Callithrix jacchus: one gene and its partners. The protein of the gene in region 1 purifies or fractionates together with the protein of each later gene. This does not show direct contact. Links are inferred from orthologs where the notes say so. Each region holds a gene or a part of one and is shown in the gene's direction. Other genes may lie near its edges.

Region 1 (4,229 bases):
TTTAAACAGTCGAGGCCGGGTGCGGTGGCTCCAGCCTGTAATCCCAGCACTTTGGGAGGCCGAGGCGGGCGGATCACGAGGTCAAGAGATCGAGACCATCCTGGTCAACATGGTGAAACCCCGTCTCTACTAAAAATACAAAAATTAGCTGGGCACGGTGGCGCATGCCTGTAATCCCAGCTACTCAGGAGGCTGAGGCAGGAGAATTGCCTGAACCCAGGAGGCGGAGGTTGCGGTGAGCCGAGACTGTGCCACTGCACTCCAGCCTGGCGCCTGGCGACAGAGACTCTATCTCAAGAAAAAAATAAAATAAAATTTAAGCAGTCGATAGAAAATAATTCCTGATTTTATCCAAGAGGCAAACGGTGAAAGAGCGAACATTTAGTCTGCCGATCACCTGAAGGGAGCAGCGTGGTAAAGTACCCAGGAAGCCCTCGGCACTCGGGGCAACGGTGAGCTGCTAAAGCAATAGCGCCACCTACCGATCCACGCGGTACTTCCTGGAAGATATTGGCTCCCCAAGTCCACCGTGATCGTGCCCCCCCCCGCTGTGACCCAACCCAAATCTAGTTGAGTCACTAGCTGTTAATACTCGTCCCCGCGCTCTGCGCTCTATTCCAACCTCCTCTTCCTCCGCAAGGTTCGGCTCCGCTCCCGAGCGTGAACCAAACACCGCCGCTGCAGAGTTGAGGCTGGAGACGGAAACCAACCGAACGACTCCACCTGGAGCGGCGGCCCGGGCGGCTCGGTGGTCCAACCCCGGGAGGGGGCCGCAGGCGCCGCACCGTAGCCTTTCCCTGTTGCCCCACTCACTCAGCCCGCACTCATCTCCGGACCGAAACCCCGGGACCCTGGGGTCCGGGCTCCGCTGGCCCTTCAGCCCGCCAACAGCCCGCGCCCCGCCTCCGCCCCCTCCGGGAGCGGCCGCACTGAGAAGCCCAGAAATCTCCCTCCGCCGGTCTTCGCCCCGAGACTCCGCTCCTCCGCGGCTCTCCCCCGCGACACCCGCCCGGGCCCCTCTACCCCGCCGGCCGAGCCCTGCCCAACTGCCCTTCTCACCCTTTCATCTTCCCCGCCTGCTGAGGCCGTCGTTACCACCGATATCAACGCCGCCGTCGTCGCCGCCCTCCGGTCTCCGCGCCCTCAGCTCGGACCACTCCACCCCGCAAGCCGGCCTCCTGGCCGGGGCAAGGAGCTGAGCTAGCGCCGAAGGCCGCGAGAGTCGAGCGAGGGCCTAAATCTCCGGTGGGGGCGGGGCTGTCTCCCTCCGCCGCGCAGGTCCCGCCGCTTCCCCACACGTGCGCTCGGGTCTCAGCTCCCTCCCGCCGCTACCGCCAGCCAGACCAGCCGCCGCGCGGTGACCTTTCACCCCGCCCCTCTGCGCGCCGGCGCGTCCGCCGCCTCACGCGCAGCCGCACTGCTCGCCCCCGCGCACCCTGCCCCCTCCACCCCGGAGCCTCCATCTTTCTCCCGGACTGTAGCTTCCGGCGTCCTTCTCCTCCCTCCCACCTATTACACTACTTGTGTGGCTGGCTCGGTAGGCCCTGGCGGTAAAACCCAGATTTTTCCACCCCTTCCTCTCCTGCCTCGTATCCGCACGATCGGTCTTTCTCGGACCCCTTCTTCCCGGTGTGTGGTCTCCAGAGTGACCTTCAAACGCTCTTGCCTTCCACTAGGGTTTTGTAAGGCTGGTTCTAATAAATGTAAATAAATCTGCGGAAAGCTCAGGTAAGTTAGGTGTCTTAAAACAATTAGACGTAGTTAGCGATGGGCCCGATCGCTCGGTTACTCTCCAGCACGCTTCCAGTTTTGAGCTCACGTGATGGACCCCAACCTCAGAGCCTGGAATTTTACAGGCGGCTTCCGGAGGGAAGGAACCCCGCCGCCATTTCCTGTCCCTCGATAGCGGCGTGAACGTCACTTCCTTAGCAGTGCGCTTTAGCCCTTGCTGTCCGCGTCTTCCACGTTGTACTTTACAACACGGTCCTTGTGAAAATTCATCTTTATTTCTTTAATCTAAGGAGATTAATATTCAAGGAATCTGTGAAAATACGGGCCCCCAAGTTGTAGCGAGATGGGATGAGGGAAGTCAGGGCGGAGCTGGACGTCACATGACTGTTGGACCCGCCCCCCTCCTCTGCAGCTGAGGACTTCCCCGCCCGTGGTGACAGAGCCTCTGGGTCCTCGCTCGGTACCGTCTCTGCACCTCGCGCCCCAGCAGGTGAGCGGCGGCCGGTGACTGGCGAGTGGTGGGGGCAGAACAGGTAAAAGGGGTAGAAGAAGGCAGAGCAGAGAGGAGGGAGAGTGTGAACGGCGACCTCCCTGCCTGAGGCTTCTTCCCCGCTGTCACCCTGCAGGGGCAAGGAGCTCATTTCCCCTGACTCCCCCTTCCCCAAGTGTGGTCGGCCCCGCTACTTGGGGATTGAGATGTCCACCTTTCCCAGGGTTGGGAGTGAGTGCGGCCATGATGATTCTGTAGTCAGAGCCTTTGGGGCTTCGGGTAGCAGATTATTTCAGCCGTTCCACAGGGTCTGCAGTAGACACTAGGTCCTGTTCCTTAACGCCCATTCTTTGGCAGAGATCCTCAGCGTCCTTACCCTCAGCTCAGGGCTGAGGAGCGGGGAGGAGGCAAAAACCCTGCAGGCAGAGGCGTCTCCGGTGAGACGGGCTTGGGAGGGACTGTCAGATACGGCCCTGACTGCGGAGTCGCTGTGAAGCTTCCCTCCGAATGTGCTTCCTCAGTCATTCTAAGGGTTTTATCTGACATCCCTGCAGGGAAGGTTCCGCAGATGTTCACGTGCTTCAGATGGGACTGGAAGGGTGAAAGAAGGGCTTCTACTTTTCCTTCTCTGAGGGAGAGGACAGTTGAAGGAACACTGTCTCCAAAACAGGGGGTGTTAGTAATGCGACAGTCTCGATTGAATGAGGAGGCGTTGAAAGATGGTATTGTGGTGTCGTGGTGTGCGGGGGGCCCGGGCTAGTTTAGGGAAAAGTGAGTAGGGTTCCTTGAAACCGAAGTAAGAAACTGACTGGGTTGGAAATACTGTTAAACCGGATTCATTTGGCCGTATGCTTAAAGGTAGAATCAAGTCGAGATGTTGCTGTCTGCACATATTTTCTGCCTTTAATCTTTCCCTTTTTGTCCTTGTCCCCTAAGATATTACTAAATTGCCACTCCCAGAATATTCCTCGACCCGCTTTATAGTAAATTTAGGTGAAGTAGAATTTGTATCCCTCCTAAATTTTCCCAATTGTAAAACTCCCGGTGTCCTCTTCAAATTTTGATGAATAGTATTTTGTGAAAATACAGTTGTTTTGCCCAGGTGTTGTCCAACCTGAGTACTCCCATTCTGTCTGTAATGTATTACCAGTGTTTTGACCCCAAGCCACGGGCTTTAGGGAAGAATGTTTTTCGGTTTGTGGTTAAACTCTTTTTATTTGTACTGCAAACTCAGAAGGTTCCATGCTTCTTTTCACTGTTACAAATATTACAAATTTTGTATTTAAAATTTAAATTACACCTTAATATGAAAAATAGTATGTTCAGTTAAATCTTGTAGTTTTCTAAGATAATTAAAGAAGACTGCTGAAAAATGAGGAAGATGGAATCACCTTTGAGTGGTGGATGTGGCTGATTTATTTTTGTTTTTCTGTGTCTTCCAAATGCTATACAATAAACTGGCCTTATTTTGTTAAGGAGAACAAAAAGTTAATATTCTAGAATAGTAGCAATTTAACAAAGTACTTTTATAGTAAGTTCAAAATGCACAACCTGGCTTATTGATGCTCCTTGCTAGGAAACAAGGAGATGAAGATGTTGCTTTCCCCAAGTAGTGAAGAGGATTACTATTATCTCTTGTGGATTTACCGTTTTAGTATTTTGTACTTAGGATCCATACTGGACAATAGACTACTATATTAATACATGTATGTCACCATGCCTGCTTTTGATATATTTGTGTGTGTGTGCATGTATATGTATGTGTGTATGTGTGTCTGTGTATATATATTTATAGTTTTAGCCGTTAATTTTCTCCATAATAAGATTTCCTTGATTTCTAGAGGAGAGAGGGAAAAAAGGAAGTGTTACTTCATTGACCAGGTGACATTGCACCACAAAAGGAGAATTTCTTAAGTGCCCTGGAAGTCCTAACTAGTCCTGTCTGGCTGATACCAAAATGGGAAAGAGAAAATCAGTTAGAAGCCATTGACTACTAGAGGGGAAAATA
Region 2 (4,129 bases), on another chromosome or scaffold:
AAAAAAAGAGGAAGAGAAGTCTCTACTAGAGCTTGCTCTATTTGCTTTGTGAGGATAGAGAGGCAGCTTTCTGCAAACCAAGAAGGCCCTCACTAGAATCTGACCATGCTAGCACCTTGATCTTGAACTTCCCAACATCCAGAACTGTGAGAAATCAATTTCTGTCATTTAAACCACCCAGTCTACTGCACTTTATATGGCAGTCCAAGCAGTCTAAGACATTAGATAATGGACATATAGACATTCATTAATAGAGAGAACTAAAGAGAATAACTATCAATGTTAGTCAGTGTGAGTCCCACCTAAAATATCTCTTCCTTCACTCGTAGAAACACTAAATTAGATTATTCCAACTGCCTCAGTGTTCTTCCACCCTTACCCAATCCAGTCCAATCTCCGGAGGAAAATACGATCACATCACTAGGATGTGATCATTCCATCAACCACCTCTGTAATGGGGAGACGTGTAAACTCCATTGAGCAGCATACAAGGCTTTTCAAGATCTGCTCAGACTCCTTGAGCCACTCTTTATACACTGCACTCATTTAAAACTCAACGACAATCCTACAAGTAGGTGGAATTATTATTCCCTCTTTACAGATAAGTAAAGGAGAATAAGTAAGTAACTTGCCCAAGACCACACACGGCTGGCAAGTGGCCCAGCTTAACTTTAAATTTTGACGGTTTGATATATCTATAAACCAGATAAATCCATAATCTTAACCACAGTATTATTCTGTGCCGGGTACAGTGTAGGTCTCAATAAATGCTTGCTAGATGAGTAGTACGAAAGAGCTTAGCGCTCCTTTTTCACCTGATCCCAAAAGAGGTGTGAATCCTAACCACCCTGTTTCTCTTAAGAGCCAAGTCAAGTTAGAGCTGATGACTGTTACTGGCAGCCCTCGGCCCCGCATGCAGGACCTGATCCTGGACTCCCAGGGGCCCTCCTGGGAAGACGGGCCACCCCGGGCCCACTCACCTCGTCTCGGCACTGCTTCTGGCACATCTGACAATACCAGCGCAGCTTCTGCAACCCCTTGGACTTGATCCTGTTGGCGATCGCCTTGGGAGTAAGAAAATCCGACTTCCCCATGGCGACCACGGCAGCGATCACTTTCTAGACCCCAGAGCCCAGCCAGCCGGAAATGGAACTGGGCTGGCGGCAGTGGGCGGGACAAATCCCTGCTGTGAGGCGGAAGGAGGTGGGACTCTCGCATTACAACGCTCGCGAGACTCTCTTCGCTGTAGCGCGAGGAAATGAGACTGAAGAAGAGAGCGAAGTGGGAAGGGCGTGTTGGGAAGCTTCTGCGCACGCGCGCTGAGGCCTCAGTGACCGACCTTCAGCAGAGCTGCGGCTACCATGTTCTCTCGCGCGGGCGTCTCTGGGCTGTCGGCCTGGACCTTGCAGCCGCAATGGTATGAGAGCTTGCGGGAAGATCGCCAGGACTGCAAGCGATGGAAGAGCTCGGGCACGGGGCAGGGAAGGGGGGTTGGGCCCGGGGGCCGATCTGGAGTCGTAGGGCCTGCGCGGGCCCCTGACCCCTCGGAGGCGCGGGGTAGCGGGGGCTGCAGGATGCGGCTTTGAAGCCGGCGAGGCGTGCGCAGGGCCGGGTTCCGGCCGAGCCAGGTCCCGCCCCGTCCCCTGAGGCCGGAGAGCCACCTGGGACCTCCGGACTGCGGCCTCGGGTTCCCTCAGCTAATCAGTACTTCCTGAGCTTCCACTGCGAGCCAGGCCCCCATTCTCGGGGCCTGCAAGAGAGACCACCCAGTGGAAGGTTAAGTTGTGCTCTGTCCTTGACGCCCTTCGAAACCCTTCAGCGCTGGGCAGACTGACCCTTTAAGATCCGATCTAGTCACAGAGCGTGGCCGTCGAGCACCTCCCGTGTCGCGGGCGCTTTGCTGGGTGCTAGAACAGCGAAGGCGAGCATCCTCGATGCCCCTGAGGGTGGTCTAGCTGCAGAAGGGACCCTACAGATCTGTCTGATGGCGGGGAAGGGAAGGACACCTAGCACCGCCTTGAAACCACTTGCTGAAACCGTAACCCTGCAAGGTCATGAAATTGCCCGAAGGTTTTAGGCGAAGGAGTTCGGTGGGCTTTAAGTGGCGTTTGTTAAGTGCCATGCAGCCAAAGGGTGCCACGCGTCTCGAGAATTTTAAACAGTAGTTCCGGGTGGGGCGACCTGGGTTGGGGGAAATGCCTATTAGAAAGCCTGGAAGCCGGCAGGAAAAAGTTGGTTTGTGGGTGGTGCTGTTCAGTTTTGAAGCTTGACAGAATCTGGAAGCATTTCAGACACACTGCCAAGAGGAATATAGGCTGTGTCCTAGCAATTCCCTGCTGTTAACAGCATGGAGGATTTCTAAGGCGCTACAGTGCTAAACTAGATTTTTGTATCTTAATTTATGTGAAGGGTCCATAAAGCATTAGTTGAAATAAATACATTTTTCATTAGGCAGATAACTGATAGTGATATAGGAGATTTTCAGAATGAAATCTGATGTGAATTAGCCACATAAAAATTTTGGTGGCTTGGTCTTGGAAGTAAGATCTTTTTTTTTCTCTCTAATATGGAAAAAGAACATTCATGGGAATTAAAAGGTCACTATAGTTGAATTATCTGTTGTATAGACTGTCCCACTTGTTAACTGACCTGAGTGCCTGCACTGCGCCCGGTGGTACTGTGGGAAGTGCCAAAATGTGATAGTGAACAAATAGACGAGGTCTCAGTGAGCTTCCTGGGACAGCACCTGTCACGCAGTAGTGCTCTGCAAACATCAGCCCTCCTGTCCTTACCCTCTTGCCAGGCATTCATGTTACCTGTCAGTATTTTTAGAACCTTGGTTTCTAAGTTGATCTTTAAAAAAATGGAAAGAGTTTCTGAAACTAAGACAGAATATTTTACAAAATATTTTAGAAATACCTTTTTAAAAAAATCTGTAGGATCATTTGAAGCTCTTTTAGTAAAGGATCATTTTAAATAAGAGCGCTCTGTTGGAGACAACCACTGTTTGGAGCTTAAATCCGAACCTCAGTCAGCATATAAAGGTCCTAGTCCTGGCCTTAATCCCGTTGGAATATTGCTTTTAAATCATCAGTCGGCAGTGTTCCGCTTTAAAAATATAGTCTGTCCTCTTCCTTTTCATGCATTCCGTCACTCTTGGTGCTTAATGTCTCTCCCGCCCCTTCTGTTATTTTTCTTCCCACTAATTTAATTAACCTTTCGAATTCAAAAATTAAAACCACTCCACAGAACTAATTTGGAAGGGGGAAAAAATACCTTTGCCTTAACCAAACCATGAGGAGGCATATTTCCACAGTTCCGTTTTGATTACTGGAAGTTTTTAAAACTAGTTTGTTACTGTTTTAGTTTTTGCTTTCAGAGAGGTTATCATACTAACATAAACTAATCTTTAGGCTTACTATTAAGTAAGTTATGATCACAGTGGTTGTTTTAACAGTTGCTAGGGTATCGCCAAAATACCCTAACTTTTTGAAAATTAAGTTTTTTCATAAAGTAGCATTTAAGAAAACGGAAATAAAAAATTCAAGAGAAAGAGCCCCAGATTTTATTGTCTTCATGTCTGGGAAAAACGCATTTCTACTTCTTAGTGTTCAAAAGTCTCTAAAAGGGAACTGTTTTATAATAACGTGTCAGTAGTCGTAAACTATGTACACTCAAAAGGAGATGGCATTTCAGGACAGAAAAGACAGATTGTCATCTGAGAGCAGGAGGACAGATTTACTAGTAAATGTAAAAAATGTGAGGCAGCAGAGTGTAGTACTGTATACAGAGACTCTGTGGCCAGCCCTGAAGGGCTCCATTCAGACAGCAGGGATTGAATTCTGATTGCCACTTAGCAGCTCTGTGACCTTGCCTGGGTTACTTAGTGCCTGTCCCGCCAGTTCCTCATCTATCAAATACATGCAATAAAAGTACACGATTCAGTGGGTTGGGGTGAGGATGAGAGTATCTGCAAAGCATGTAGGACTGTGGGAGAACCAAACGCTGTCTATCAGTAGAAAAATGAAGTGTTTTTAAGTTTCTACATCAGATACAATGTCAGAAGATTGCTTGGACTTGCCAAAAGAGGAGGAGAGTATGCAGTCATGGGTGTGGGTTGGAGAAGTGT
Region 3 (4,120 bases), on another chromosome or scaffold:
CTGCCCACCTCAGCCTCCCAAAGTGCTTTTTTTTTTTGAGACAGGATCTTGCTCTGCTGCTCAGGCTTAAGTGCAGTGCCCTGATCATAGTTCACTGTAACCTTGAACTCCTGGGTTCAAGTGAGCCACTCTACCTCAGCCTCTCAAGTAGCTAGAACTACAAGTGTGCAACCACCATGCCTGGCTAATTTTTTTTTTTTTTTTTTTTTTTTGAGACAGACTCTTGCTCTGTCACCCAGGCTGGAATGCAATGTCGCATTCTAGGCTCACTGCAACCTCCACCTCCTGTGTTCAAGCAATTCTCCTGCCTCAGCCTCCTGAGTAGCTGGGATTAGAGGCACCCGCAACTGCTTGTGGCTATTTTTTTTGTATTTTTAGTAGAGATGGGGTTTTGCCATGTTGGCCAGGGTAGTCTCAAACTCCTGACCTCAGGTGATCCACCTGCCTCAGCCTCCCAAAGTGCTGGGATTACAGGCATGAACCACCCAGCCTACCTGGCTAATTTTTAAAGTGTTTTGTAGACAGAGTCTCACTATGTTGCCCAGGCTGGTCTCCAACTCCTGAGCTCAAGTGATCCTCCCCCATCTCGGGAGCACTCCCAAAGTGCTGGGATTACAGGTGAGGCACCATGCCCGGCCTTACCAATTCTTTAACTTTCCCTGAAGGCCCTACGCTCTCTACTCAGTACGCCTTTGCATATACTGTTCCTTTGCCTAGAACACCCTCTTGTCCTCATTTCTATCCCCTTCATCCTGCAGGTCCTTCAGGTCTCAGCTTAGATGCGAAGCAAGTTTCTGGGGGAAGGGTTCTTTGGACGCCCCCTCTCTCCATGGGTTAGTTGCCATAGATGTGCGCTTCCATGTACTTCTTACATTCTAACAATTAACACACAGCTTTGTAATCGCCTGTTCCCTTGACTTTCCACCTCACTAGACAGTATCATCACTAACTTCTGCATTCCTTTAATTGAACAGATGTGTATGAGTTAACTATGTGTCATACATACATACACAATAAAGACCCAGACCCTGCCCCTGAGAATAATCCCAGGAAACAGTAACTGCGTCTCTGCTCTGGGGTCTCGGCGTTTAACAGTGCCTGGTTCAAAACGCTTGTTTAACGAATGAACCAAGGAAGAAGTGAATGAACGAATGAATTCCCGCGAAGGACGTCGTGCCGCGCGGCCTTCTGGGAACCGTAGTCCGCTGGTTCGGGCCTGTCTTTACGGCGCAGGCGCATTCACACTGAGGCCGTGTTGCTGTTAATGCGCATGTCCCGGGAGGCGGCTGGGAGAACTGCGCATGCTCGAAGGGTGGGGGTGAGGCCAACGGGGAGCCGCACGGCGGAGGCGGGGCTTCGGTGGCTTCTGGTGCTCGGGGGTGATCTCTGCCCGGCTGCAGGGATGGCGGGGAGGGGGAAGCTCATCGCAGTGATCGGAGACGAGGACACGGTGACTGGTTTCCTGCTGGGCGGCATAGGAGAGCTTAACAAGAACCGCCACCCCAATTTCCTGGTGGTGGAGAAGGATACAACCATCAATGAGATCGAAGACACTTTCCGGTACGGTAGCCCGCGAGGCCTGAATGGGCCCTTCTGCTGCCGGATGGAGTGCGGGGCGAGGGCGGAGGTGGCCGGGGGACCGAGGCGTGAGGCCGGGACGCGGGTAAGGGGACGGTCTTGGAAGTCCGCCCGCCCTTTCGGAGCGGAGGCCTCCGCGCCCCAAGTTCCCGTTTGGGACTCGGTGGGACTGAAGCTGTATCAAGTCCACGAGCTCCCGTCTCACATGATCGTGTGTCAGGAAAGAAGGGGAACAGAGCTCGTGACGGGCACCGCCCGTCAGCACAACCTGTCCCCCTCCATGGCTGAGCGTTCAGAGCGCCCAGTCCCCGGCGACTGCCAACCTGGACGCCTGTTCCCAAGTAGGGCTCGGCTCTTTTGCGAGTTGCCCCCCTAAAGGAACCGCATCCCCGATGAGCACCTAGGCAGTGGGTTCGGACTTTGTTCTGCTTTCCCCTCCTTTAGAGGCTTACCATCGACCTGGAAGGCAGGGGTGATTTTGTCCTGTTTACAGGTGAGAAAACTAAAGCTCGGAGAGGTTAAGGCACACACCAAAGTCACGAGTCGACAGAGGCAGAGCTGGAATTTGAACCCAATCCCAACCCTTTCTGCCTCTGGTAAGCCAGGTACACACTCTGCAGCTCTCCTCAGTCGGCCTCGGAATTTCTCTTTGGTCCTGAGCACAGTAGGCAGAAAATATCAGGACTGTGAGAGCCTTCTGCTAAAACTTGCACTCAATCCCTCACTCCCTGACTTAGGTCAGGCATGCCTAAGTGTCGTCGAAGGCATGCCTTTAATCCACCTGGTGGCCTGGTGTCTGGAATTGAGGATACCAGCCGCCTCCTATTCTTTCCCTCACCTCATCTCCAGGGCCCCTGACCCTAGCCACTCACCTGTTTCCCCCTAAACAGCCCAGCCCAGGGCTGCCGGCTGAGACTGGTTCTTGCTGCCTGGGGTATGGTAGCCCCTGACCTGGGAGGCTGTTATCTGCCGATCTCTAAGCTGTCTGGTAAAGTGACCCAAGTTGTCATGGGAGAAGGACAAATTTTACTTCAAGAATTTTCCATGTTTCCAACCAAAAGGGACCTCAGAGAACAAATCTAACCCAGTTACCAGCTGGGGGTGGGTGCTCAGTAAATAATTTTTAACTGGCAAATAAACAAATGAGGCTGGTTCGGTGGCTCACACTTGTAATCCCAGAACTTTTGGAGGCCGAAGTGGGTGGATCACTTGAGGTTGGGAGTTTGAGACCAGCCTGACCATTATGGTAAACCCCGTTTCTACTAAAAATACAAAAATTAGCCAGGCATGATGGTGAGTGTCTGTAATCCCAGCTACTCAGGAGACAGGCGGGAGAATCGCTTGAACCCGCGAGGTGGAGGTTGCAGTGAGTAGAGATTGTACCACTGCACTCGAGCCTGGGTGACAGAGGGAGACCTGCCTCAAAAAAATAAAATAAATGAATGAATGGGTGGGTGATCACAGGAGACAAGGATCACAAGGCTAGGTTCTTTTTTGTGGAGAAAGTGTGATTCCCTCATCACTGAGTGCCCTCTTCCTAGCTTGTGATCTTGGTTCATGCCAAACTTTCCCTCGGACTCCTTCACCACCCTCATCATCTAGATCTTGAGGCCTTCACTAGTCTCATCCGCCCTAGTTTTAAAAAATTTAGTTTTTTCCATGGCCTTATTTATTTAAAAAAAAAAGTTTGTTTAAAAGTTAATGTGTCTTCTCTTTATTGTTTTTTTATTTTGAGATGGAGTCTTGCACTGTCACCCAGGCTGGAGTGCAATGGCTCGATCTCGGCTTACTGCAACCTCTGCCTCCTGGGTTCACGTGATTCTCCTGTCTCAGCCTCCTGAGTAGTTGGGATTACAGGTGCATACCACCACACCTGGCTACTTTTTTTGTATTTTTAGAGAGATGGGGTTTCACTGTATTTGAAACCCCATTTGAAGTTTGGACAGACTGGTCTCAAACTTCTGACCTCCTGATCCGCCCGCCTTGGCCTCTGAAAGTGCTGGGATTACAGGCGTGAGCCACTGCACCCAGCCTAATGTGTCTCTTTTTTTTTTTTTTCCTGAGTCGGGATATCTCTCCTATCACCCAGGCTGGCGTGCAGTGGAGTGTTCACAGCTCACTGCAGCCTCAACTTCCCAGGCTGAAGTGATTCTCCCACCTCAGCCTCCCAAGTAGCTGGGGCTGTAGCCTCTCAAGTAGTTGGCATGTGCTGCCACATCCAGCCAATTTTTTTATTTTGTGTGCTTGTGTGTGTGTGTGTGTATATTTTTTGTAGAGACAGGGTCTCACTATGTGGCCCATTTCGATCTCAAATTCTTGGGTTTGAGCGATCCACCTGCCTCAGCCTCCCAAAGTGCTGGGATTACAGGTGTAAGCCATCGAACCCAGCCATCGGTATCTGCTCATAAAAAGGGATCTGCGTACATATAATCTTATCATCCCCCTTCCTGACACCGTCCCTGCATGTTGAATACACCGTTGTGCACCCTTATTAATCTTCATTACCAGCTCACTTGGCAGCCTTCTAGGCAGTGTTGTAGAA

What was found. Proteins that work in one complex are often made in the same cells at the same time.
Region 2: the proteins of ATP6V1A (region 1) and ATP5F1C fractionate together in Homo sapiens (co-fractionation; 3 studies listed by BioGRID). This does not show direct contact. The link is inferred for Callithrix jacchus from reciprocal best matches to the Homo sapiens genes ATP6V1A and ATP5F1C.
Region 3: the proteins of ATP6V1A (region 1) and ATP6V1F fractionate together in Homo sapiens (co-fractionation; 3 studies listed by BioGRID and IntAct, with this or other methods). This does not show direct contact. The link is inferred for Callithrix jacchus from reciprocal best matches to the Homo sapiens genes ATP6V1A and ATP6V1F.

The regions. Positions count from the first base shown.
Region 1 is NC_133516.1:103,480,498-103,484,726, reverse strand, and holds the start of ATP6V1A (V-type proton ATPase catalytic subunit A), read left to right. Parts: upstream 1-1,429; 5' UTR 1,430-1,728; exon of another isoform or gene 1,729-1,844; intron 1,845-2,169; exon of another isoform or gene 2,170-2,264; intron 2,265-4,229. Other genes in the region: NAA50 (N-alpha-acetyltransferase 50), read right to left, coding at 1,060-1,067. UniProt on the Homo sapiens protein: Catalytic subunit of the V1 complex of vacuolar(H+)-ATPase (V-ATPase), a multisubunit enzyme composed of a peripheral complex (V1) that hydrolyzes ATP and a membrane integral complex (V0) that translocates protons.
Region 2 is NC_133508.1:6,148,765-6,152,893, reverse strand, and holds the start of ATP5F1C (ATP synthase F(1) complex subunit gamma, mitochondrial), read left to right. Parts: upstream 1-1,329; 5' UTR 1,330-1,361; coding exon of another isoform or gene 1,362-1,417; intron 1,418-4,129. Other genes in the region: KIN (DNA/RNA-binding protein KIN17), read right to left, coding at 981-1,094.
Region 3 is NC_133512.1:118,317,782-118,321,901, reverse strand, and holds the start of ATP6V1F (V-type proton ATPase subunit F), read left to right. Parts: upstream 1-1,320; 5' UTR 1,321-1,402; coding exon 1,403-1,560; intron 1,561-4,120. UniProt on the Homo sapiens protein: Subunit of the V1 complex of vacuolar(H+)-ATPase (V-ATPase), a multisubunit enzyme composed of a peripheral complex (V1) that hydrolyzes ATP and a membrane integral complex (V0) that translocates protons.